2 linked regions of the Styela clava genome follow. The protein of the gene in region 1 purifies or fractionates together with the protein of each later gene. This does not show direct contact. Links are inferred from orthologs where the notes say so. Each region holds a gene or a part of one and is shown on either strand. Other genes may lie near its edges. The genes, in order: transcription initiation factor TFIID subunit 1-like and transcription initiation factor TFIID subunit 6-like.

What was found.
Region 2: the proteins of transcription initiation factor TFIID subunit 1-like (region 1) and transcription initiation factor TFIID subunit 6-like purify together in Drosophila melanogaster (affinity purification with western blotting; 3 studies listed by BioGRID, with this or other methods). This does not show direct contact. The link is inferred for Styela clava from reciprocal best matches to the Drosophila melanogaster genes Taf1 and Taf6.

The regions. Positions count from the first base shown.
Region 1 is NC_135257.1:9,176,766-9,190,049, forward strand, and holds the start of transcription initiation factor TFIID subunit 1-like, read left to right. Parts: upstream 1-8,551; 5' UTR 8,552-8,734; intron 8,735-12,861; coding exon of another isoform or gene 12,862-12,972; exon of another isoform or gene 12,973-13,158; intron 13,159-13,284. Other genes in the region: rho-associated protein kinase 2-like, read right to left, coding at 767-926, 2,742-2,833, 3,376-3,545, 3,995-4,108, 4,609-4,693, 7,233-7,486, 8,000-8,160, 8,410-8,491 and 1 more. UniProt on the Drosophila melanogaster protein: TFIID is a multimeric protein complex that plays a central role in mediating promoter responses to various activators and repressors. Largest component and core scaffold of the complex.
Region 2 is NC_135256.1:4,774,055-4,787,077, reverse strand, and holds the start of transcription initiation factor TFIID subunit 6-like, read left to right. Parts: upstream 1-7,176; 5' UTR 7,177-7,207; coding exon 7,208-7,390; intron 7,391-8,213; coding exon 8,214-8,285; intron 8,286-8,847; coding exon 8,848-9,016; intron 9,017-9,661; coding exon 9,662-9,855; intron 9,856-10,619; coding exon 10,620-10,751; intron 10,752-11,730; coding exon 11,731-11,910; intron 11,911-13,023. UniProt on the Drosophila melanogaster protein: TFIID is a multimeric protein complex that plays a central role in mediating promoter responses to various activators and repressors.

The sequences.
Region 1 (13,284 bases):
CAGGGTGTCATAAACTGGCCGAACGAACCAAAAAGATTCTAGTCGTTTCAAAAGGTCCATGTACATTTGAACCCACGTTCATTTGAACTCACGACAATTACACCCGCATACTATTGCACCTATGGAAATTTTTTTTCTTTTGCGGATATTTGAACCCATACTAACCCTAACTCATGGGTTTTCGCACCCGCATATAGATTGAACCCGCGGATATACACATGGGTTCAAATGTACGGTCACCGTTACAAAATACAGTAGCTCTTTATACTGTATATCAGGCTGCTTAGTGCTTATACAGAGATTTCTGCAATGTGAAAAAAGCAAAACGTTGAATAAAAAACTATTCAAGGAAAATCTTATTTTTATTAGGCTATTAATAAAATAGTGCCTATTTTATCCAGAATTTGCCGCACAACATTAAATAAGTTTCAAATCAAAGACTATCTAGTATCCATTGTCCAATACTATTGTAATACATACCTATTTCGGTACTCCGTATGTGTACCAGGTTAGGACAAAATTTCATTCCGATTTTCCTTATTTTAGTTTTTTTTCGAGTTCGGGGACTGTTTGTGTTAGCTAAGTGAATATACCCTGCCTATAGGTTTCAGTCCCTTTACACAACTTGATGTAACGTAGGCGAACAAAATTAGTTACCTCCATATTGGTACACATACTTCTGGAGCGCCCCTATTTTAATGTCAATCATCTTGCAATGAGTGATTATTTCTTAATTTGCTATTTTTTATTTATCTCTCTAACTTACATGGTATCGGCAGAATAAGTGAATCCAATAAACGGGAGATGATTTCCAGTGAAAGCTTTTGGTGTTGGGAAAATTTCTTCATCTCCTTTGTCATCATCAATATCATCAAAATTTCTTGTATCTGTATCTCCGCTCAACTCAGGTACTACTGGGGCAACAGCTGAAAGAATAATAACTTTTGTTAAAAAAAATCTGCTGGAAGCAAGGCCACACGCATTCGTTCGAAGAACTCTTGAGCGTAGTTAAATGGCCGACCACTAAGGTACCGAAAGCCACAGAAAATTTATAGAATTAAGCATTACAAATTAATAAAGACCTAAAACGATTGTTAAACGTATATTTTAACAATTATGCTACTTCAGAATACAAGGGTAAAGACATTGAATTTGGTTAAAATAATGCTGCATTAAAAAAAAGAGTACATACAGGTATGTAATTTCACGTTTGACGAAGTATATGTTGACTTGAAACACAATATATTCTATGAACTTGCAAGCAGGCAGGGTTTTTAAAATAATTGAGTTTATATCATAGTTGAAATAAAAAATACTATTGAGAAAGAGTATATATAGACATTTTAATAATCAAAGTTATTGTTTTTTCATGCAGTTTGCCGCCATGTCGCATGGAATCATGATTTATGACACATGCACTTGATACACATCATAAATGATTCAAACATAAGTAAATGTCATTATTACAGTGTACAGTAGATCTATATAGATCTTCTGAACCTAACTACTAGGGCTAATAGAAATTTTTCATTCATGTATCAATAACACCAGTGAGTTTTTGCCTTTCAGTGAAATCACAGTGCTTTTGCCTTTCGGTAAGTGTGTATTAAGTTGGTTGGAATCTTTGGCATAGATGAGGACAAAAAAATAAAAACTGTTTAATTTTCAATCGATGCATTGTTTGATAGTATGTGCATGTTAAATGATCAGTTTCAAAGTATATTTTATATGACCATGTTTTGTTGATAGTTGAGATTATTCGAACCATATTCCTTATTATTTTAAATTGAAATTCAATTTATTGGTGATCATTGATTACATAAAGAAACACATTTCAATGATCACTATAATTTCAGCTGTTCGCCAGCTTAATTAAGCCATCTATGCCTTAAGCAACACTATAATCTAGTGCCTCATGTAAATTTCCTTGTGCCACACCATAGGAATATGATATTAAGGCAAAATCCCATCCCTGCATAAAGTGCAATATAGTGGAAAACCCATTGCGAAGTAGCAGCCCAGTATTCATCATCAATCACAGATGTGCATCAGAGCGAAACGAAAACGTAGCAAAAATGTGGCAATGAATCAAAAAAGTAAACAAGAAAATTTGCGAATGAGAGCGTTTTATAATCATAATTTGAGCTGGTCAACGGCAAAAATTCATGAACTTAATATTTTGGTCCAGGGTTGCAAACAAATATGGCAATCAATTCACACACAAATCATAGGGCAGTAAAAGGCAAAAATCACAGGCTCTAAGATGCTTATACAAAAATAACAGATAATAATTGCATCAGCATTCAGCGCAGTGAGAGAGGATTCAATTTCTGTGATCCATAATCATTTAATTAATATCAAAACAATATAGGAAAAAGAGAAATGTTGTTGAAATTGAACCGATAGAAATTCCTTCATTAATAAACAAATTGGTATTTAAATACACCTGAAAATTGTCCGGCAAAACAAAGAAAACAAAGCCAGAATCCAAACTAAAACACATAAAGAACATATTCAGCGATTGGCATTGCACCAAAGAATAACCAAAGTAAAAAAAGGTGGAATACGAAAAATATCAAAAACAATATCAATTTTTATGCTTCGTCAACCAGAATATAACTAAACCAGGATACAGGAATTAACATAAACAATTTAAGTATTAAAAAATTTATATAGAATGCATCAAAATGTGTGTAGATAATGACAACTGTTTTTGCATTGAAAAATTTTAGTAAATATACCTTGGCGTATATTATCAAATGTCCATTGATCGTTCTTAAAAAAGGGATGTTTTTTGATATCTTCAACACCTTTTCTACCAAGTCGACGGTCACTGTGAAAAAAATAAGCTCAATGGTAATCATACATAAATTAGAAATATAAGAAAAACAAAATATAGTACCGGGTGAGAGTAGAGCGCACTGTTTAATAAGATTTCTCCAAAACTTCAATTTATGACTTAGAGTGTTTCTGTTCTCATTCGGCAAAATAAATTGAATTCTTAATAATATAACACTTAACAATACTGATGATAAAGCCATTATGCCACTGGGATCGTGCATATCTACTCTGAAACAATTAAAAGTACTGTAAAAAGTACAATAAAATTACAGTATAAGTTATGATAAACTGTCCTAATATTTCGTATAAGGTAGAATCCTAGCCACAGCAAAACGGTGTTCGTTCGATGAAATTGATGAAATAAAATATGACTTATATCCATACTTTGCTGCACAATGCACTAAATTTGCATACATACCTAATAAACCTATTGAGGATTATATCAACTATTCACATTAAAGAATCCCATTCAAGCAACAGTATATACCGTGAATAAAAATATAATTTTGGGGTTTACAAAACCAATTCATGTACCTGTCTGTGAGAAATCCGCATATTAATTTCTTAGCATGATCCGACATGCTGACGTCATCAGGAAAACTCAATGAATTTTTGTGATCCATAATTTTCCCGTAAGTTCCGACAAGAGAATCGGCATAGAATGGGGTGTCACCAACAAGCATTTCATAAAGAAAAACCCCAACCTAACCAAATAAGAAAAGCGAGATTAGTTTCATATATCAGAACAAGTATTTTAAATGTCCCCAAAAATAATAATTGATCATGGACAAAATAATGGAGCAATATGGCAATTGGGTACATTGAGCTAGATTAATAAAATAATATTTTAAGGTACAATATTACAAAATTTGTTCTTCTGGGTGAATGGTGTATAAACATGTCAAATATATAAAATAAATGCTTAGATTGTATGTGAAGTATGCTGCATTTTGTTTTATGTTGTGTATACCCTATACTGGCGAATTTTTTTCATTTGTATTCTGTAATATTCTAAATGCTATACGATCCATTTTATCGTTTAAAAAAAACTATGATTATACACTGATAAAAAAATGAAAAGCAGATTCTTAGAAGATACATATAAATAATTTATTGAAAAACAAGAATCCGGGTCAATCGTGCAATCACTTACCGACCACCAATCGCATTCACGACCATAGTAACCTTTACCACCTTGTGATTGCAATACTTCAGGTGAAATATAATCAGGAGTGCCAACGGCTGTGTCAGAACGCACCATGCCCTCCTAGAAAACAAAAATAAGGGACTAGTCATAACACAATATTGATGTACTCTAATATTTCAACTGAAGATATTTGATGAATAAAGATAAAATAAATAATGATCATTGAGAGACTGAAATCATTGAAATTTATGATTCAATTATTTCATCATTACAGGTTAGTTCACCTTTTCACTAGGAAACATTTGAAGTAAGACTGGGGTAGTTTCACAAACAATTACTTGCATAAAAATTGACAATAGCTGTTAGTGAAGATGTTTCAAGAATTTAGTTATAATAAAATTAGTAAAAAATTCCAAATAAAAAAATATTTGAATTATACTTTTGCTGGAAAATCAAAGTTCATATCACTCATTTTTTGCCAAATTCGATTCATTAAGAATATTCAAAATTGATATTCTGAACAAAATTTTAAAATAAACAACTATGCAGACACAAATATCCCTAATTCCAATAAAGAATTCAATTTACTGCAGGTGTTTGAATAGTAATTATTCATTTACCTTGTCCATACTCATGCAAGTTCCAAAATCAGCAAGTTTTAAATGTCCTTGAGCATCCAGTAACATATTGTCAGGTTTTACATCCCTGTTGAATAAAAAAGTAAGTAAATTTATTACCAAAAGAAACGTGGTTAATTAAGGATACATATTGAGTGCTAGATTTATAGACAAATATAAAAAGTTACCATGCAATCCAATTAACAATAAAAACTGTTTTTCCTTCATTTACTGAAATAATTGTATGGATGACAGCATACCAACCACAAACACAAATATTTTAAATTTGTAAAATTTTTGCTTATTGGTGATCAATTTGCTGACAATGAAACAAGATAATAGGACAAGTTCCATAAACTAATAAGCATTATAATCCACAATAAATCGAATACATTCAAGATTGTATGCATTCAATTTAGTAATATAAGAAAATTTAGGTCAGTTTTATTTGTCATTTTAATCAAGTACTATCTGATGATCAAGATAAAAAAAATAGATTTCACTTAAATCAGGCAAGGCAAAAACAGAAAATCAATAATAACAACGATTAATTTATTTTTAACAAAACTAAATTCATCGTTCATTTACTATAAATTTTTATTGATTTATGCCTCTCTTGAAAATGACCCAATTTAGAATGTCACAATACTTTATATTCCAAAATATTAGTACGAAGTGTATTTAGAAAAGTTGAATTATTTTAATTTAGCCACCGTAAGTACAAGCATGAAATAACTTGAATTGTACTTGGAATGTAATTATATCACAAGATATATAACTAACAATAGGACAATATTGAACAACACATCTGGTATGAGTCTATTTGTAGTTCACGGTTGAATATTGACAATTTCTATCAGAAAAGCAGATAGTTGCTAATTAGTAAATTCACATCACATTAAGAAGAACAAATTATAAATAAAATATTATTGATAATATCATAATGCAGTCTGAATACAATCAAACTAATTAATTTCGTAATTTAAGTTATCCTAATAAGTATATACAAAAACTATTTCACGTTTTTGAATTATATATTTCCTGACACAATCCAGAACATTATATTTATGAAGCATGATTTGACTTAAAGATTGATTATTATTGGCAATGTGCCAAGCCAAGCTATGATGAGTGTTCATAAATTCCGGTTACAATTTCAAAATAGTGGTATGAAGTCAGTTCTTAATATATCTTATTAACCAGGTTTGTTTTATTTCAATCAGTTATTTAGTTTTTTAACTTACTATTTTATACACCTTTATTTATGCCGACCATCATTTGCACGGAGCATGTTAAAGTTCTTTTACCTATTTTAATACAGGCTTCATGAACTCTCTACATCACCAAATAAATGCCCGGAATTGGGTTTTATGGAAACAACTGTCAAAGAACCCTTAATATGAGCCTTAGATCTATTAATAGGCAATTTCCACCATACCCAATACTTTTAATTACCAATATTATGGTTCCATATCGCAATAAAATATCATAATGATTTGAAAGTTGGATTACGTCATGCAGTAATACGTATAAACTTCCCATAGGACACACAACGTTGTAACAAGACTATTTATTATACATGCAATATACAATATCGGGCACGATGGACTAAATAATCAGCAGCTTTATGTTAGCCACAACAGTGGAGAAGTCATCAATATTGAATGAAACAGAAAACTGGCCAGTTTTTCAACTGGCAATATCTATTGTACAATTTTGTTTTAATAAATGTACTCAAGTGACTAAAACAAATAATAAATTTTATAATAAACTACAATGTTTGTGATTGTCGACTGGTCTTCAATAACGAATGTTTTTAAAAAATTATATATTACACAATTGAACTACCGGTACATTATGAATGGTATTAAATATAAATAACAGATTATAGTATATTATATTCAGAGTCCCTCCTTTACCATATGATTCAAAAATGAGATTGCATGAAACAAAAATGATTTGTTATATCACTGCTAACCTGATGACTAAAAATAAATACTGGTAATATAAAATACAAATAGAACATTTAAAAAAAAGTTATAGACCGAACTTTAAAGACAGTTTATCCATAGGATGTGATATTCCCTATTCAAATCACAAAAATGTTGTATTAGAAATACCAGAGTTGGCTAAATTTCACCAATACCACCCTAAGAACAATTTGGAATAGTGGAGAATGTTACTATCGATGAAGTTGCAGAATATTTGATAACATTTTCCTTCAGTAAAGTATATTCAAGTTTGTTATTTAAAAAAAACATACTCCCATATGCCATATCACATCAGGTGAATTAAATACAGCAAAATGTATGAAAACATTCTGATGTGTGGTATTAAAGGGGGATAGGTGTTGCACAAGTCTAATATATATAAAATATATATATACAAGAATCAATTCGTAAAGTTTTTATGCGGAAATATCAGAAAAAAACGGGTACTCCTGTAGTGTGTGTACCAGATTAAGGCTATGCCTTAATAATTTTATTCCGATTTTCCTTATTTTAGTTCTATTACGAGTCTGGGACTGTCTGTGTTAGTCAAGTGAATATGAAATAGACAATATGAATATAGACTCTCTCCGTTATGAGTCGTCAGTAAAAAAAAGCTTAATTAGTTAGATAACTTGCCTGTGAATGAATCCCATATTGTGTATTGATTCAAGGGCAAGAACGACTTCAGCTGTGTAAAATTTTGCCCATTGTTCAGGCACATCATAATTAGACATGAGATTGACCAGATCTCCACCAGGCATAAACTCCATTACCATATAGAGGTATTTATTGTCTTGAAATGAATACTGCAAACGCACGATCCAATCCGTGTTGGCGTGTGCCATAATGTCTCTTTCCTCCCAGAAGAAAGCAGATTCTGATCTTTTGATCTATGGAGCATTATAAAAGGAATATACCGAAACAAAAAATTATATAGATGATTGTCCATAAATTTAGATAAAACCAAAGTGGAAGAATGTCATATTTACACACAAACACAATTCACACACAATTTGGACACGAAATGCCGATAAAACTGCGAAACTTTCTCAAATATAGTAAGCTAAAATTAGAATGTGTGGTTCAACATGATAATCAGAGCAGTCATAACAATTGTGTTGCCAAGTACTTTCCATGATAACAATGCCAATATTTTATGTGGTAAGGTTCATGTCACTTGAATAAACATATTTTACCAAATGAAGATTTTATTATTAAGAAATAAATATACCGCAAAGCAATAGTAGGATATACATTGTATTTAAACACAATTGTTTCCATATTTTTCAAGTGTTTTATAATTATCCATGAATAAGACTGATCAAAAACAAACAAGGGTATAATTTAACAAACTCCATTATCGACATGCGTTCTTGAATAACTTCACCAATGACACAACTCACCATTTCAAATTTGCTCAATAACTTCATGGCATAAACTTTAGAAGTGGGTTTGTAACGAACGAGTTGAACTTCACCAAAAGCTCCTCGACCGATTGTCTTAACTACTGTGAAATCAGAAGCTCTCATCCTTATTTCATAAATTTTCTTAACAGGATGTGCGTCTGGAAATATAAAAGTTTTTTTTGTTGAAATGACTCTCACTTTGTACTCTCATCCGCAAAGCAATACAAATGAGAATAAGACACTTGACTCATTTATACAGAACTTGACATTTATGGAAAATATATTCATAACAGATTGCTGAAAAGGATAGTCTTTTTATTCAGCATTTATTTTGTCAAAGTTGGATCAAAGTTTTCCAAACGGATCTAATGCTCATAACTAAATGATTAGTTGAATTAAATACTTACATCTATTTAAAAAATTTTCCACATTCTTGTTCCTTCTCAAAGCAGGAGTGTCTAGATCCGTAACCAATGCAACGATGCCATCCTATGAAAACAAATTGAAAAATTAGAATGAATATCAAATACAATTATCAGTATAGGAGATAAAATATCCAGTTGACTACGTTAGTGAATTTGTCATATGGCATTTTGCCTAAAATAGTTTGACTTGGATTATCGTGTTGTTGCACAATATTTACTACCAATAGGCAATAGTGCATACCATTTTTTGCATTGTGTATAATGTTGTTTTTCCATCTAGCTGATTGGAGAATTTGGTTGTATTAAGGTTGTGTGATGATTACTTTCAATAGTTAAAACTGAATTAAACCCAGTTGGTTATGCTTCTTATGTGAATTTTGTATTTACAAGAATTTGGTTATGTGTAAAATACCAGTTAATCAGACCTTCAACAATGAGAAACAGCAAACTCCACAGAAAACTATGCAAATTCACTTATATAAAGAGAAAGACAATCCCACAAGAAAAAACTATAGCACAGAAGTATAATATATTAAGATATAGTAAGATAATATATTGTAAGTTTCAACTACAAGCATAATACTGATTTGATACCATGCCAAACCATGGATCATTTAAGCTAAAACCAGAAAATTATCGACAAATTCTGTAACATTTATACTGAAATTTTCAGCGATTTCATTTTTGATAGGATTGACACGTTATGTAGCCTATATTCAGAAAAGTGGTTGTTTATTTTAAGGCTTAATCAGATAATTATTACTGGTATTTATAGTAGAACCATGTAAAAAAAAAGACAAACCACAACATACTATTTTTAAAATAAGTTTGTAAAGTATTACTATTTTGTGTGTCAAAAGCTCTGATCTAGAAGGTTTTTTAATACTATTTCTAAAACATATATATATATATATATATATATAAATACAGGATCTCAAGTTGAAATAAAGTGGCTCAAAACGGGCAAAAACGCAAACTTCAAAAAGAAAGAAGTATAATGATACAAGCATATATTTACATTGCCATTGAACAACAACAAGTTGTTAACAGGTGTGCATGAATACCACAAACAGGTTAAAATAATTTAGAAAATGTATTAAACTAACTGTCGTTTCAGTGCAATAAATATATTATAATAACCCTAGCTTGTGGTTAGAAAGTATAATCCATAATATTTTTTTGAATATGTTACTGTTGGTCATTATATAAACTCCATAGTAAAGTATCATAGCAGTTCCTAAGTCATAAAGAAGGTCTCAACATCAAATTGAAAGATAAAATGTATGGCTTACATTGCATTAATAATTCATTATAATTGTGACTTTGTTTATAATAGAAAACAATACTAATAATTCCTTTTTTGAATAAGAAACTGGAAGAACTATCAAACAAACTACCATAGTTCAACTGGTATACAAACTGTTTTATTTAATACAAATTATCCAATGTTAGGTTAATACTTTATTGTATGAAATATGAATAATTGAATTTGAAAAATAAAACTAAACTAGAGAAATTAATATAAGAATGCAGTTTCAATGACCTATAGCCAGCTAAACATATACCAATTATTTAGTCCAAAATAGGATTGAAAAAATATAAGTCTTGTTGTATCAGCTATATCTTGTCAAAGGAAGGCATACCGAAACAACTTTACAATCAAAAATTAACATTTGAATAATTGGAAAAATCATCAGTATACCAGTATCAGGTAGTTTTATTTGGCAGAGTCACTTATTTTAAATGAAAAAGCCTTGAAATATTTTAGGATTTATAGCTATATTGTTACCAATTACTATCAACTATGTAGTAAAACCGGGTTCAATCTCATGCTCCATATTACATTTATAACAAAAATTTTCATTTGGCATTTTAAAAATTCACGGTTCAAAATTTGAAATAAAAATTGAAACAAAGCCCAAGTTCTGAGCCTAAGGACAACTAAATTATTCTGATTAACACCATAAAATTACAAAGAATTGATTGTGGAATTTGATCTCACTGCATAATTTAGTATGACATGAGCACTCAATTCATCACCTGTAGTAAAGCTGGACAATGACGTAATTGTGTGCCTTATATGCTTGAATAAATACATGTAGTCGAAAGTCAAATAAGTCTACAGCCAATATTAATAGATAAACCGTGCTGAATACTGTCATAATGGTCTTGGTAAGAATAGCATTATATAGTGTTGTACCTTTTTATTGTATATAACACAACAAATACCAGACTTCTTACTATTTGGTTTTTGTGGAATGTTATAATAAAAGCTAAAATATGTATGTTTGTTGATTCTGTATTTGCAAAATAGCATGAATATCATCATTTCAATGAATCTATGCATTATTTTAAATGATATTTATTTCTTTTATTTTTTAGAAAATTTACTTATTTCCAGTAAAAAACAATGTACTTTAGTGTCTCATCAACACATAGTCAATTGAGAAGCAAATAATTCATAAAACTCATTATTATAAAATCAGATGCATCAAGAATTCCACTGTATAGGTAATCTCCATTGGAACACTCAGTTGAAGATTATAACAACCATTAATCCCCAAATTGACATATTCCAAATTAAATCAATTTTCAATGATATACTATAAACCTACACACACTTAATCATTGGCATCAATTCGAGATGCCTTTGTGTGAATACCCATCAATTATCAATCAAAACTTCAATGATTAAGCACTTAAAAAGAAATGTTGTTTTTGAATGCAATAAATTTTTGATTCTGTGCTGAATACCAAAACCTTAAAATGCAGTCTGATATAATAGTCTACAAAAATACATGCCACATTTACTCATGCTAAGTTCCTACAAAGCAAAGTAGGCCAATTAAACTTTGTTTTATTTGGTTAATTATGGCACAAAGGAGGAATGGTAAAACTCTGTACAAAACAAACTGCTGTGAACTTTCAACTAGAGGTAACAATAAATAATAATAAAATGGAGAATATGAATAGAAGTACAATTAACATTGCGAACAAACTTGGAGGGTATTTGAGAATACAAAACTTTTCAAATGGCATGCATGAGCATAATTCCCTATACTGCTATTGGTCAAATCACAAAAACAATACTGTTGTGGACTGTGGTGGGTACCAGGATATGTTTGCTTGTTTCACCAAATTGACACGTAATCGTGAGTTTTCTATGCTTATTTACATGAAGTAAATCTGAAGTTTGTAACTCAAAGTATCCTTTCCCTATGTCCAATCCCTTATCAAAGAAAGTACAAATGTGACATGAGGTAAAGTATTGTGTGTATTAAAACACGAAACAGAGATGCAAATCATCTATTCACACAAAATTTCAATTGACCGAATTAATGAATTATGTCTAGACTGGATTCGGTCATAACTACCTTAACATTATGATATGTCTTCACTTTCTCTAACTATGGACCTTTCCCCGACCTTTGACCCCCGGAAAATTCTTCCTATACTTTACCATTGCAAAATTTTCGGGGCTATTTTAGGAGTGCTTTTGCGAGTTGGCGCATGTAAAATGGGGTATGTGTTTCAAACCATCCTTATGATTCATCGCATACAACAATCTGTTTTTTAAAAGTACCGGTAAAGAATTTCAGGCTAGTCTATCACAGCTATTTCTACACTAATTTTTATTACTGCAATTAAATTGAAACTCCTAGGAAGACAGAGTGATCATTGAATTATCGGATTTATATTTGAGTTTCCGAAACACAACTGAAAACTAACGAATAAAGTTCAGAAACGCGAAAACGAGGTAATGTTTACAACCACGCTTGAAAATCTGTCTGAGTGAGAAAAGTGTCTGAGCGGATGCGAAAAGGGGGCATTGTTACGTCACTTTTTGCATCTTGCTGATTGGCCAATGTCACGAAGTAAACAAGGAAGTCTATGCTCGGGGAAAGGTCCATAGAATAGAACTTCTTTAAATTTACAAATGCCACATATTAATTATTAACCCTATTAATATAACAATATTATGTATGCACATGTGTAATGCTTTCCTATAACTGCACAAATATGCTATACGCAAATATTCATTTTATCTTCTGAAACATTTCATTGAAAAAATGGTAATAACAGCAACAACTATAAGAACACCAAGTTTTAGTGTTAGAGTCAGATCGTACAAAAGGTTTATCTTCGAAATGAGACAACTGTAGCTGGATTGTAGATGCATACATATACAAAAATGTAAATCTTTGATTCGTTGGTTTCTAACTCAAAATTGAATTAAATAGAAATGAGGTCAGGTCAGTTATGAAATTCTGAAACCAGAAAGGGCAAGCGAACTAAAACTGAAAACTGCCTGTCAATTATTAAGTAATACACAAACATTTTATTTTATAATAACATACAATACAAACATAATGCTGTAATTAGGATATGTCAAATTTAAAATAAAAATAATACAAAAACAGTTAGTTATCTTACCAACAGTGCATCAACACTCAGTTTCGAATTTTCTTTTGCCACCATATTGTACAACTCCCTTTGCCTCTGATCAAAGTCAGCTTTCGCCATACTGCCGACTTTTCGCACCATCAAAAAGAAAAATGAATTGCCTATTGGCTTTGTTAATCCAACTTTAAGGAACGTCAACGAGATCTTTTCATATTAATAAGAGAACGATGTCAAGTTCCTTTTGAAATTCAATACGCTATCCTATTGTCGTCAAAAAAAAGTGAACAAGAGGCTGCAACTTACATTATATCATAGTAATCAGAGATCTGTATATTATGAAAATAATGGAGATACAATCGTGAGAGACGATAAAAAGGCAGAAAATGAGAGTGGACCAATCATGGAAATAGAGTACACACATATCCGAAAGTTGAATCAAAATTACAGCTGCCA
Region 2 (13,023 bases), on another chromosome or scaffold:
GAAATTCAGGAACGCGATTTGTTGTATTCTCACGCCGGAAATGTATTCAATAAATATCAAATTCAGGAAACGCAACTTCTTGAAATGCTACACGTCGGAAGTATGGTGAGAATTGTATAAAATATGACAAACTTTAAATAAACGCTATGAAATAAGATGAATAGTATAAAATCTAAAATGCGATGGCAATTAAAATTCCCTCCACTGAAAAGAGCTACTGGGCAACCATATAAGCAGAATAGTATTAACATATTTATCCCGGGGGAGAGAGAAACGATGTGACGGCTTAATAATATGGCGGACCACAGCCTCTCGTTCGATTATCAGTCAATGTCGGGCATGGGTAAGTTAGCCAACAATCTTTTACAGATGCACGGACTTGATGGTGAAGAAATCTGTAACCGACCAGCAATTACTTGAACCACTCTACGGTGACGAGGAGTCCAGCAATCCTCTCCCGCACAGGATTCGAACCTGCGAACTCACGCAGGGTAACTTCTAAAGCCCAGCACCATGCGCAACGTCGCCAAGCCACAATATTTACACAGATCTCGCGTCTGAACTCATATTTAACGCATACTCAACTCGATATATACGCAATGTTTAAATTTAGTGTAATTTAATGTTATTTTCAACAGGTAACAAAATCAAATACAGCAGGCACGTATCCGTTCTCCGACTTCAAAAGGTGTTCAGGTTAGGAAGTATCAAAATGTCACGCTGTATATCATTGTCTGGGACATGAGGGTAAAATTATTGATTGATCAAACGACGCGCCATTGACTACTTTGGAAGTGTTGCAGGTTCGAATTCCGTGGGTATGATTATGCGCAAGAAGATATCGAGACGTAGGATTTTCGGATCTTTTGTACAAAGCCTCCGCGAAAAAAAAACACCCGCGTCACCGCTCAAAATTAAAAAATTAGGGACCTCCAGAAGTATAAGCACTAAGATGGCGCACAACCTGAACATAGTATGTGTACCAGGTTAGGGTTCAGGTTTTGCGCCATCTTGGTGCACATACTTCTGGAGCGCCAAAATTAGTTATCATCCAGTTAGGGTTAGGGCTATAGGTATGCATATTGCGATGGAAATCCCACTCATTCCTGACCCTAACCGGATAAGTAGCCTACTAATTTTGTATCCCAAAATGTTGCGGGAATGTTTTTCTCAAATTTCATATTTTTGCATTAGTGGTGGGGGCTTCGTACAAAAAATCCAAATTTTCTCGTCGCCACACACGTGTTCGCAAAGTCGCTGGTCAGGTTACGGCCTTTTCTACTGTTCAAGTTGGACCAATTGCTTGGATGTCGCCACCACCATATCTAAAATCTAAGGTAGTTTTCGCCAAAAGGTTGAATTTTTCTGTCGACTTATCTCTTTCTGGGATGAATACACGGATAATATATTATCCTAATATTTCAATGGACTGCAATTTGAGGCCAGAGGTCGTACATACTCAACTCGACAAAGTGTTTATATATATACTGCATATGCACGGTATCTTTAAATGTAGTGGTCCTTTATTGCTATTTTAACAGCCAGAAAATCCATGAACTATCTTGAACTACTGTATATGTATGTCTGAGGATGTTTGACCTTGGTCTGATGAAACGTTACAGAAATATATTTGTTTTAGTGTGTCAGCAAGACTATTGAATCACGTAGGACAAGCGTGTTGTTTCTGCTCTGCGACCGCCATACAGTGTTCAAGTTAGGAAGTATCAAAATGCCATGTCCGTGTGTCATTATCTGGGAATCAGGGCAAAATTAATGATTGATGAAACGACGCGCCGTTGATTACTTCGGAAGTGTTGAAGGTTCAAATTCCGATTGGGCGCAAAAAGATATCAAGACGTTGAATTTTCTCGTCGTCGTAACCGCGTTCGCGTATTCGCTAGTCAAATAACGGCCTTTTCTGCTATTCAAGTTCCATCTGGACCAATTATAGACTGGTAAACAAGTCAACGCAAATTTATTTTATTCAACCAGCGAAAAACAAACACATACAATAACTAAAAAAAATAGTAATCATACAATTTTATTTTGGCAGAGAAGTCGCGGGGAAACAAATCTAGTTATCGAACAGCGACACCGAAGGTTTCAATATCTAGTTAAAAGATCAGATAATTTAATTATAGAAATAATGTTATTAGCGGCGAGTACGGTGTGGGCAAGAAGGAGTTTTTGTCATAAGATTAAAATGTCGACTTTTCTCTTCCTGTGATAAGTATACGAACATCATCCTATCCTAATAATTCAATGTACTGTAATTTGGAGCCAGGGGTCGTGCGTACTCAAATCAACACATATCCCACTCAACTCAACGTGTATACATACTGAATATATACGTGATCTTTAAATGTAGTGTCATTTATTGCTATTTTACCAGTCGAAACATTGAATACAAGCATGTTTGTTTCTGTTCTGCGCAGTGGCATATCTAGGGTGTGGCAGGCATGGCTCATGCCATGGGCGCCGTTTGGATGGAGCCGCTAAAAGCGCGAAAACCTAAAATCGTAAAATGTTTCAATGAAATAATTCTAAATTGGAAATAATTTGAACTCATATTTTTACTTAATTAATAACGTACAAGTATCTAATCAACAACAGTCATTAAAACTTTTCCAGTCAACAATCAAGGGGGCGCATGTTTTAACTTTGCCATGAGCGCCATTTTACGTAGATACGCCATTGGTTCTGCGATCTCTATACAATGTGCAGGTAAGGAAGTATCAAAATGCCATGTCCGTGTGTCATTATCTGGGAATCACGCCAAAACTAATGATTGATCGATCGACGCGCCTTGATTACTTTGGAAATGTTGCAGGGTCAAATTCCGTCGGATTTTTTAGCGGATGATTCAATTGAACATCGTAGTTTGAAAATGAATTAACGCGATAGTCTTTAGGGAATAAAATTAGTATTTGCTGTTGTTGCTGGCTATTTGTTGTTATGACGCAGTGCTTCTAATTTTAAGGTTCGAATGACTTTAAGTTGAAATACGTAAACTATTAACCAAAAGCAGCAGAATGACTCAATATCCTATAAGTCTACTGCATTTGCAGTAGTAAACAAGTAAAGCAACACGCATAGTATTCATGAATTTTGTATTTAGTTGAAGAAGACGAACCAACGTAACTGATAACTGGGCTATACTGTTGAAAATAGGTATAATTCGTAAAAAATACAAATAACTCATCTGAGATTCCAATGAAACCCCAAATCTAATACTCTGGTAACCCTCACTAAGTTTCCCTCTTTCCTGCAAATATATTGAAATTTAGGTTCGTCGTTTCAAATTTCGCACAAGGCGGTCGTAAATATAGATTTTGTGTAACTATATAGATTTCGTGTAACTGCAGTCGTAACAATAGTGCTAGGCTAGAACAATAAAAATTAACAAAAATTAAAAAAAAGAACAATTAGCATACCTGATATCCCAGCAATAACAACAAATCTTATACTTAAATAAACTTGAGTTTTTTTTACTATGTAGTTGTGCCCTTGTTCTTTACTGCAATCCTATTCTTACTACTTTACCACTGTATTTTTGTTTATAACGGACACTAAAAACTACAGATGCATACAATAATTGGAAAACTCATAGAATTTGAAACACCTTTTTTTCTCACTTTCCTCACTCTTTGCGTAACTAATATCTCGCAATCGTTCGTCTGGAATGTTCTTTAAAAGCAACAACATGATGAAACTCCGCACCCCAAACCAAGCATAAAAAAAACTCGGATAAAGCGGAAATTTGGAAATTTAGGTTAGTCTTCCAAAATCTCGCACACGGGGGTTACTAGACGTAACTGAAGATTTTGAAATTGCAAGGATATCACATCAGCACATTAAAAATAGAATTGTTTAAATGCAAACTCTGGGATTTAAATGGAAATGTTCTTTAAAAGTAACAACATGATGAAACTTCCGCACCGCACACGAAGGATATACAAAACGCAAATTAAGCGAAAGTCTAGAAACACATCGTAAAATTCAGGAAAATACGACAGGGAAATGAAGGAAACTTGAAACACCAAACATTTGCAAATTCAGTTTCGTCATTTTAAATATCGCACAAGGTCGTAACTGAAGATTTTGATATTGCAGGCTATCACATTTGCGCCAATAAAAATGGACGAAAATTTGAAAAAGATGAAAATAACTAATCAGATATCCAAACGATAACAACAAACCTAATACTCAGATAAACTTGAGTTCTGTTTTTATGTAAATCTTTTCTTAAATCACATTCTCACTACGTTAACACTGTATTTTTGTGCAAACTGGGTTGTTTTCACCGGACCATAAAAACTACTGAGGTATACAATAATTGGAAGACTCCTAAAATTTGAAACACCTTTGCTTCTATCACTTTCCTCTGTCCTTGCGTGACTGATATTTTGCAATCGTTCGCCTGGAAATGTTCTTTGAAATAACAACAGGATGAAATCTTCGCACCGCACACCAGAGATACAAAACGCGAAAACGGAAATCTGGAAACACATCGTGAAATTCAGGAAGACAACATGCACAATACGACAGGAAATTCGAAGAAACTGGAAACACCAAACACTTGCAAATTTAGGTTCGTCTTCTTAATTAAATCTCGTCAAATGAGGCTACTGGTCGTAACTGGAGTTTTTAAAATCGCAAGGCTATCACATTTGCGTTGATAAAAAATAAACAAAAATTTGGATGGAAATACATTAGGAGCTAAAATTTGTGCATGTGTGTGACATAAGTAAATTCGGTTCAAAATATGTAAATAATGTATTAACGAAATAATAGTATATGACATGAAATTGTTAACAGTATACTCGCTAGTTATTAACGAAACCTAGCAGTTGACACAGATGAGGCTTTCAACGGCTTTTTATTAGGAAATCAACGCAGGAAATGTATAGTTGACGCATTTCATCAATTCGCAAGCGTTGCACTGGTTAATCGATTTGTTCTTCAGCGAGTAACAGGAAGTGCTGTTGCAATTTTCAGGTTTTCGAATGAATTGATAAAAATCAATTACACAAAAAAGGAAGAACGAAAAAAGTAGAACAATAATATAACCGAACTTTAATATGGCAATACTTACATTTTGTATTCGTTACTTTTCTTACTCATAAAACTGTTTTTCTGAAAGAGATAAGAGATAACTGCGTTAAGGTTTGCCTTACACGGGGCTACGAGTATTCTTGCATCCATCGTTGTGATTTTAATAACAACTTGAAATTGTGTAATATATAATTCAACACTTCTGTTAAATGATTTGTGAATAAAATTACGTTTACTAACTTTAGTGCTTGATACATTGCACAAAAAGATTGATTTTAGCACATTATATTTCCTCCGTAGGCTAATCCCTCTTGAGCATTTTTACAACTTTCTATGTAGGGTTAGACGAAGGAACGGCTTGTAAATAATATAAAATTCACAATCATTAACACATATATATCGATTTTATTTCGTTTATGATTTTATTTTCCTTTTTTTATTATTTTTGTCTTTTTATTAGCACGCTTTTTACAAATTTATTCAAAAATTGAAACAATAATTCTTAAGTAGATACGAATGCTTTCTCAGCGTGTCCTAATGGTGATTAAAGATATAAAAATATATTCTGTTGGCGAGTTAGGGTGGAATTACATTGCCGGAAAGATGGCCAGTGCAACTGTAATATTACTTGAACTTAAAATTGCCTAAAATTCCTACTTCATCAGATCAGTTTTGCCAGTTTGCCAGGTTCGTACCATGTCACGGTTACTCGCTCCCAACGATTGTAACATGCCCAAATAAATAAGGATGTTTTCCCAACCTTTGACCCCAGAAAGATTCTTTCTATTATTTACCATTTCAAGATTTTCAATGCCTATTCTGAAAGTGTTTCTGCTGGTTGTCGCTTGCTAACTGGCTTGTATATTGAAAATAAATATTCACGTGCACAGCTCACAGATACTAATAATTAATTTTAGTCTAGTCCATCGTAGCGTTTTTAAAACCAAATTCCTTTGTTGCAATTAGACTAAAGCTTTTCGGAAGACAGAATGACGATCAACTTTTTTGATTTACAACTGATTTTTGGAAAAACAACTAAAAACTGACAAATAACACGCAAAACGATGCAATGTTTACAACAATGCTCAAATATCTGTCTGAACGACAGAAGTGTCGGAGCGTCTTTACAGATTGCAATTTTGACGTCATTGTTGGCTTATTGTTGATTGGTCATTGTTACGAAAATAAACAGGGAAAACGATGCTCGTGCAAACATCCATAGAGGGCGCAGCAGCCGTAATTAGCAGGTTCGGAGGTTAGAGGTCAGATAATCACTTTATATTTTTTGAGTGAATTTGAAGCGTTTTTAGAACCCGGTGTTTTAGTTTAATTAAAATAAAGCGGCGATGGGGAAACTTACAGGCCTATACGATAGGACAGGTTAACAAAAAATTAGTATTCAGTACACAAGTAACACAAGTTGAAAGTCTGAAAGCATGAACAAACGCTACGGCCATGACGCGGATCCAACATACCGGTAACTTTCCTGCTTCCAGGTTCGGTACTTGTATCCTTTACAGGTGTTTGAATTTGGATAAGGACAAATATGAATTAAAGTAAGCTGTTCAATGGCGTTAAAACGGTATCGTGAGCAGGTTATCAATATCGGTACCGTACTCAACTGGCGGTCCGAATCCGGCCCTTTCGACAATTTGGACCGTGTCTGCTTGTATATTTTGGCAGCATAAGCATTGTTTGGTAGTTTTAGAGGATTTGATACAATTTAAATACTGGTACATAGGTAGCCTAGCTATAGTCTACAGTTTGTTGTACTGGTACCAATATGCGACATTTGTGTATATACAGATATATTTACGAGCCATCATTAGACGTTCGTTTATTTAATGAAAAAAATATTCTGTAATGTCCGGACCCCAATAATTCTGAAGTTTTCTAAACGGACCTTTGGGGAAAATAGTTGAGTAGTCCTGGCGTACCGTAACATTCCAACATCATTGCCATACTGCTGTACTGCCATAGCAGAATGGCCCAGGTTTACGAAGAAAAATGTTTTAGCAATATACGTACAGACATACCTGCATACCGGTACTAGCATCACAGTATTAGCGTATAGACTAACTGCTGAACTGTATATTATCCACTGTTATTTTTAACAGCATATTACTGTATTAGAGTATTTACATTATTTTAAATGGCTGATACAAGTAAACGAAGTGTGAAAAAAGAAAGCAAAGTTCGACCTGACAGATTTTCTGCGTTTTCATCAGAATCTGTCAAAACCGTTAGCGAATCAGCTGGTGTCGCTCGATTAACTGAAGACACTTTGTCATGCTTGGCAGAAGAGGCAACTTATAGATTGAAAGAAATTATACAAGTTAGTGATTACAATTCTTCTCATATTAATTTCATTGTTCAGCGTTTTCTAATTTTTAACTAAAACACTTTGAGAAAAATTACCATTAGATAGATTTTCATTATCACTTTGTTTTGACTACTTATAAAATTAGGTCTATGAATTTTTTATATTTTAAATTTAGTCTTTTCCATGATTTCCTTCCGTGAAGTTTTTTCCTATCTATTTGTCTATAATGGAGTTCTCTATATGAATCAATATTTAGCCAGTCTCTGTTTCCTTCACCCATGAAGCATGACCTAACTTTGAGAGAATCTTCTGGCATTCACAATTAACATCTTATGAAATTGAATTTAAACCAGATGACCAATCTCAGTATGACACTGTTCTCAGATTCCAAGAATAGCTCCCACATATCAATTATATCAGTGAGTGCAAACCATTCCTTAACGAGACAGTTTTTTTCTCCATATCGGCATAAATCGGCAAACCAACTTTGTGAAATAAACTAAAAGGTGGCGCAATCTAAAAATGTCACAATTCGATTCCCCGGAAAAACAAATAATCTGGTTCACAAAAGGAATAAAAACTTTACTGTAGCATTCGAGAGTTTTTAGCAGAAAAAATGGATTTTTGGTGATGTTTGATTATTATCGGGACAAGCATTGCACAATCTGATACATACACTCCTGTGCCATACCCCCTCGTTTCAGAGACATATAGAGTGTTTGTTTCATTGAACCAAATGTTAGGAAATCTTGGGATTGTAGAACTGTGCCCTACTGAATTTTAAGATACTGTGCTAAGCAATGTTCACTAATATTTACTTTTACTTCATTCATAGGAATCATTGAAATTTTCAACACACAGAAAATCAAAGATTCTGACGTGTAGAGATGTTGATTCAGCTTTGAGGGTATGCTTAAGTCGTTAGTATCTTGAGTTAATAAGTTAGAAATACATACTTTCAAGTTGTTCAAAAAATCCATGTCCAAAATAATTTCCAAGTAATCAGGAAGATAGGTTCGCCTTATGTGCTCACTTACATTCGTATATAAAAAGTTAAGGCTTCAAGCGTGTTCGCAAATATTATCTGTGGGAGGATGAAATAACATTGAAAACTTATTTTAAGTGTTATTATGAAAAGTGTAACACAAAACTTTGTATCCTCCCTTTTTATTAGCTCAAACCTTAATAAATAAAAATAAATGCAAGGGTTTGAAGGTGTTTCGCAATAGTTTAGTTCTAACAGTCAAACCAAAAATTAACATAACATACTAAAATTTAAACTGAAGCAAGTGTAGCTTTGAATTGGAACAGAGTCCCGGAAATGGCCCATGGTTTATACAAAAAAATCTATTTCTGAAAAATGTGGCAGATGCTACTTTTGTTTTACTCCGACAGATTGTTTATATGCCAGAATAACTGCGTTCATACTTCAATTGGAACAAAGACTCTCACATATTTTTTATTTTCAGTCAAAAAACATTGAACCATTATACGGGTTCGTCGCAGAAGATTATATACCATTCAGATTTGCCAGTGGGGGCGGTAGAGAGCTACATTTTGTCGAGGACAAAGAAATTGATCTTACCGAACTGATTAATAACCCTCTGCCACGAGTTCCATATGATATCGCCGTGAAAGGTAAATGTCTTCCTGCATGGACACTAGAAAACGTTTTGCTAAATTGTTGTTATTTGGACTAGAAATCTTCTTGATTAACTTTTAAATTACTTGGGGGAGGTGGAGGTGTTTCCTAGAATGCTATTGCATATATGCTTTCAAATTTTTTCTCAAGTCGTTGGTACTTGTTGTTTTACTACTAATTTTGACAAATTTATCCATCACATTGATTTTCTACAGATGGATTTTTATGCACTGGTGTAATATATTATGACCATCCAAACTATATTTGTGATAATTCTCTTCAAACAAGGCTTAGACAAACACCCACTATTACATAGGAAGTTGTGATTTTTTGTAGAACTGGAATATTTTAGTTTGGTTATTACTTTCTATCAATTTTTACAACTGCCAGCACTTTTAATAGCACAGTCCTGCACTTCACAGTACTGGTTTTGGTGAGATATTTGCATACTCTGATAGTGATGGGAATGATATTTCATGGTAATAGATATATTTTTGAGTTTCATTATTTAATATTCACTGCCCACAGGACCCTGGACAAAAACCAATCATCCTTTGATACATAAAGAGCTACAATTTATTGTAGAGTGAAATATTTTCAGTTTGATTATTTTCACTCATCACCATTCCCTGTATTTACAGCTCACTGGCTAGCAATCGATGGAGTCCAACCAAGCATACCAGAGAACCCAGCTCCAGAGCAAACCACTTTACTAGATGTCTTAAATAAAACAGAATCTAAACCTCTACCTGGTTCTGCTCCTTTGAAAAGTTCCATCGTCCCTGCAAATAATCCCTTGAAGAATGCAACACATGAAACTAGTACTAAGGACAAGGTTAGACTATACTTTTTTCAGAGTTACTTGAAACTTGAAACATCAAAACTTTTGCGGTGGCAGCATATGGGCAATGTAGAATATTATACTATTTCAAAAGACTTAAATCAAATGCAGAATACTGAATCGTATTCTATTTTTATAGTTATTTAAATAGTGGAAATTCCCCACCCCACCCCGCTTGATTAAAATAGTCCAAGACTAAACATTTTACAGGGTTGATTCATAAGGGTCGTAAAAATTTCTGTGATGGTAAAAAAAATATAAGATCTTTTTTATTATAATTTTTTACTGTTGTTGAAGAGAAACTTTTACAAAATAAAGTGGTAGATTCACTTATGGTTTCAATTGATAAAACTTTTACACTAATACAGTGGTTCTCAAACGTTGGTTGGGGCGTAGACAATTTTTTGAGGGGGCGTGAAGCTAATTGAGAATAAAAATATTTGCTAGGTTTGATCTTGCCCGCCAAATTTTACGTTTTGTCCACTTATTTTTAACAGACTTTTAATATACTTTTTCCCTACTATCTGTTATTTTTAACTTATTGCTAGCTAGGTATTTTTGTGATAGGGCACGAGACTAGACAAATTTTAAAGAGGGGCACGGTTTAATAAGTTTGAGAACCACTGCACTAGTATGTCATACATTTCCTAATATCCCAGTCCTAGATGTCTTCACTAGATAACCTTAGGTTTTAGCCAAGAATCTCACTTCCGATTTTTTTTATCTATCGAACCGAATTTTTTTTAAAACTGTTGCAGAAACGAGGAAATACTGAAGCAACAAAGGTTGACCTGAAGCCTCGATTTACTCACGAACTCTCTGTCGAGCAACAACTTTATTACAAAGAAATTACTGAAGCAGCTGTGGGATCAAGTGAAGCTAGACGTGCTGTAAGTTATCATATTACTTGGGCTATCTTAGGCTTCAAATCTGGAACCATGTGGACGAGCAACCACTGATAGGTTGGGGTTGATCACGGGGCCCACAGAGCAGTTGGAAGGGGCCACCATGTTGGGCGCATAACTGATTTTACTCTTCACAAGAAAACTTCCCATTCTTCCCATAGTTTCATTGCTTGATGAGGTTATTTCACAGGGTGTTTTCACTTCGTTGAGCATTGATTGTTTGAACGTAAAGTGATTTGGAATCTACCAATCATAATAACAATATAAATACCACTGGAATATTAAACAGGGGGTTTCGTGAGTGCTGAAAGAAATAATAAGATGGGTTTCCTTTACAGCGAGCCTAGGCTCTGGTGAAGCTAGACATGCTGTAAGATAGGATGGGATTTGGCACAAAGCCAGGCACCAAATTGATTTCACTTTCCACTTCACGGGAAAACTCCCCATTTTTCCTAGTTTTATTGCTTGATAAGGTTATTTCACAGGGTGTTTTCGCTTTGTTGAGCATGGATTGTTCGAAAATATTGGGATTTGGGATCTACTAATTAAAATAACACTATAATTATCCCTGGAATGATAAACAGGGGCCATGCCAAAACCATCTGGAAGGGGTTCAAAAATATATATAAAGATCATATAATTTTATCTGATTGATTCAATTGTGATCAATTTAATCTGCGATTGCGACAATATAAATAGCATCACTTCCAAAATACCACAACAATCTGTTCACATAAAAATGTGCCGTAAAGTGTTCGATTATATGTTGTTGCGAAATAACAAATCTGAGCTGTTCCTGCAACACGTATCCCGTTGGACCATGAGTCATAAAAGGTTGGGAACCACTGCTATAGCTGTTATAGCTGTTATAAGTATTTCTTGTGTTTCCTCCGTAGGAGAAATTCCTCTTCGATTGGGGAATCGTGGCATTAAGCTATAACTGTTATCTTATTTCTTTTATCAGGAGGCACTTCAGTCTCTTGCAACAGATCCTGGATTATCACAGATGCTTCCTCGATTCAGTACATTTGTCTCAGAAGGAGTTCGTGTCAATGTCGTTCAGAACAATCTTGCTCTACTTATTTATCTTATGAGAATGGTCAAAGCTTTGATGGACAATTCTACTCTCAACTTGGAGAAATATGTGAGTGAGATTAAGTTGAATTTACTAAACTGGTTGGGAATTTCAGGGAAAACACTTTAACCGTTAACCGGGTAAAATTAACTGGTTAACCGCCGCGTGACGTTTGACTTATTAATTTATAATTCAGCTCGTTACGTCACAATGCTTATAAAGTAATTTTGCGTGTTCTTATCTCGGTATCGCTCTAATTTATTCACGAATCGAGATAGTTACATGATTGCTCTGCTGCAAGAATAGGCAGCGTGGTTCGGGCGTGTGGAAGTATTTTAGAAAACCAGATTCCGTTTGATAAACGTCATTATGTCACAAAGTTTCAGTGTTCGATATGCAAATTCTACTTCGAGATATAATATAGAAAAACGGCATCAACTGCACACTTGTTGTATGACATTAAATGTACGATTTTGCAATGTCATCGTGAGAAAAATATTTTTTGAAATAGACCGAAAACTGATTCTGAATTCATCATCGTCAAATTTCCATAATCAACAATCTGTACTTCCATTATTTTTCACATTTATTGAGTCCTTACTCACACAGTCAGTAATATTCTTTTGAATTAAACGCAGCAAGAGATAAATTTGCGATGATGTAATCATATTTGAAAAAAATTGTAGAGTATAAGGATGATTTGTACCTGAGATGTCAGTTAACGGTTAAAATAAATCGTAACCGTTAACCATCTGTATAAAGTCAGACATCAGGCACATGTTGCTATACCGAAGTTCTGAATGGCCTCTGTAGACCAGCATGGCAGTATTTGTACCAAAAAGGAAAGCTTCAGTGGTTTTACCCACAATGCCATACCATCATGCTGTGCTTTCACCGGTCAGTTAAAAAGTGCAAAATAGAATTAAAGCACAGTTATCCCAGGATGACAATTACCTGGACAAAATGTAAATGAAAACACAAGTTAACAATTCTTTGTCTGGTAAGAAGTGAACCCATATAATATCATTACTAATATGAATGCTTGGTATAGTTCCAACTTTTGTATTACACAAATAGCAGAAAATAACTGCTTTTTGGGAAAGGTCTTCTTTGTAATCCTATTTAAAATTGTTAACTGTTAGTAATCATACTACATTAGTTCAATACATTTACCAAGTATTT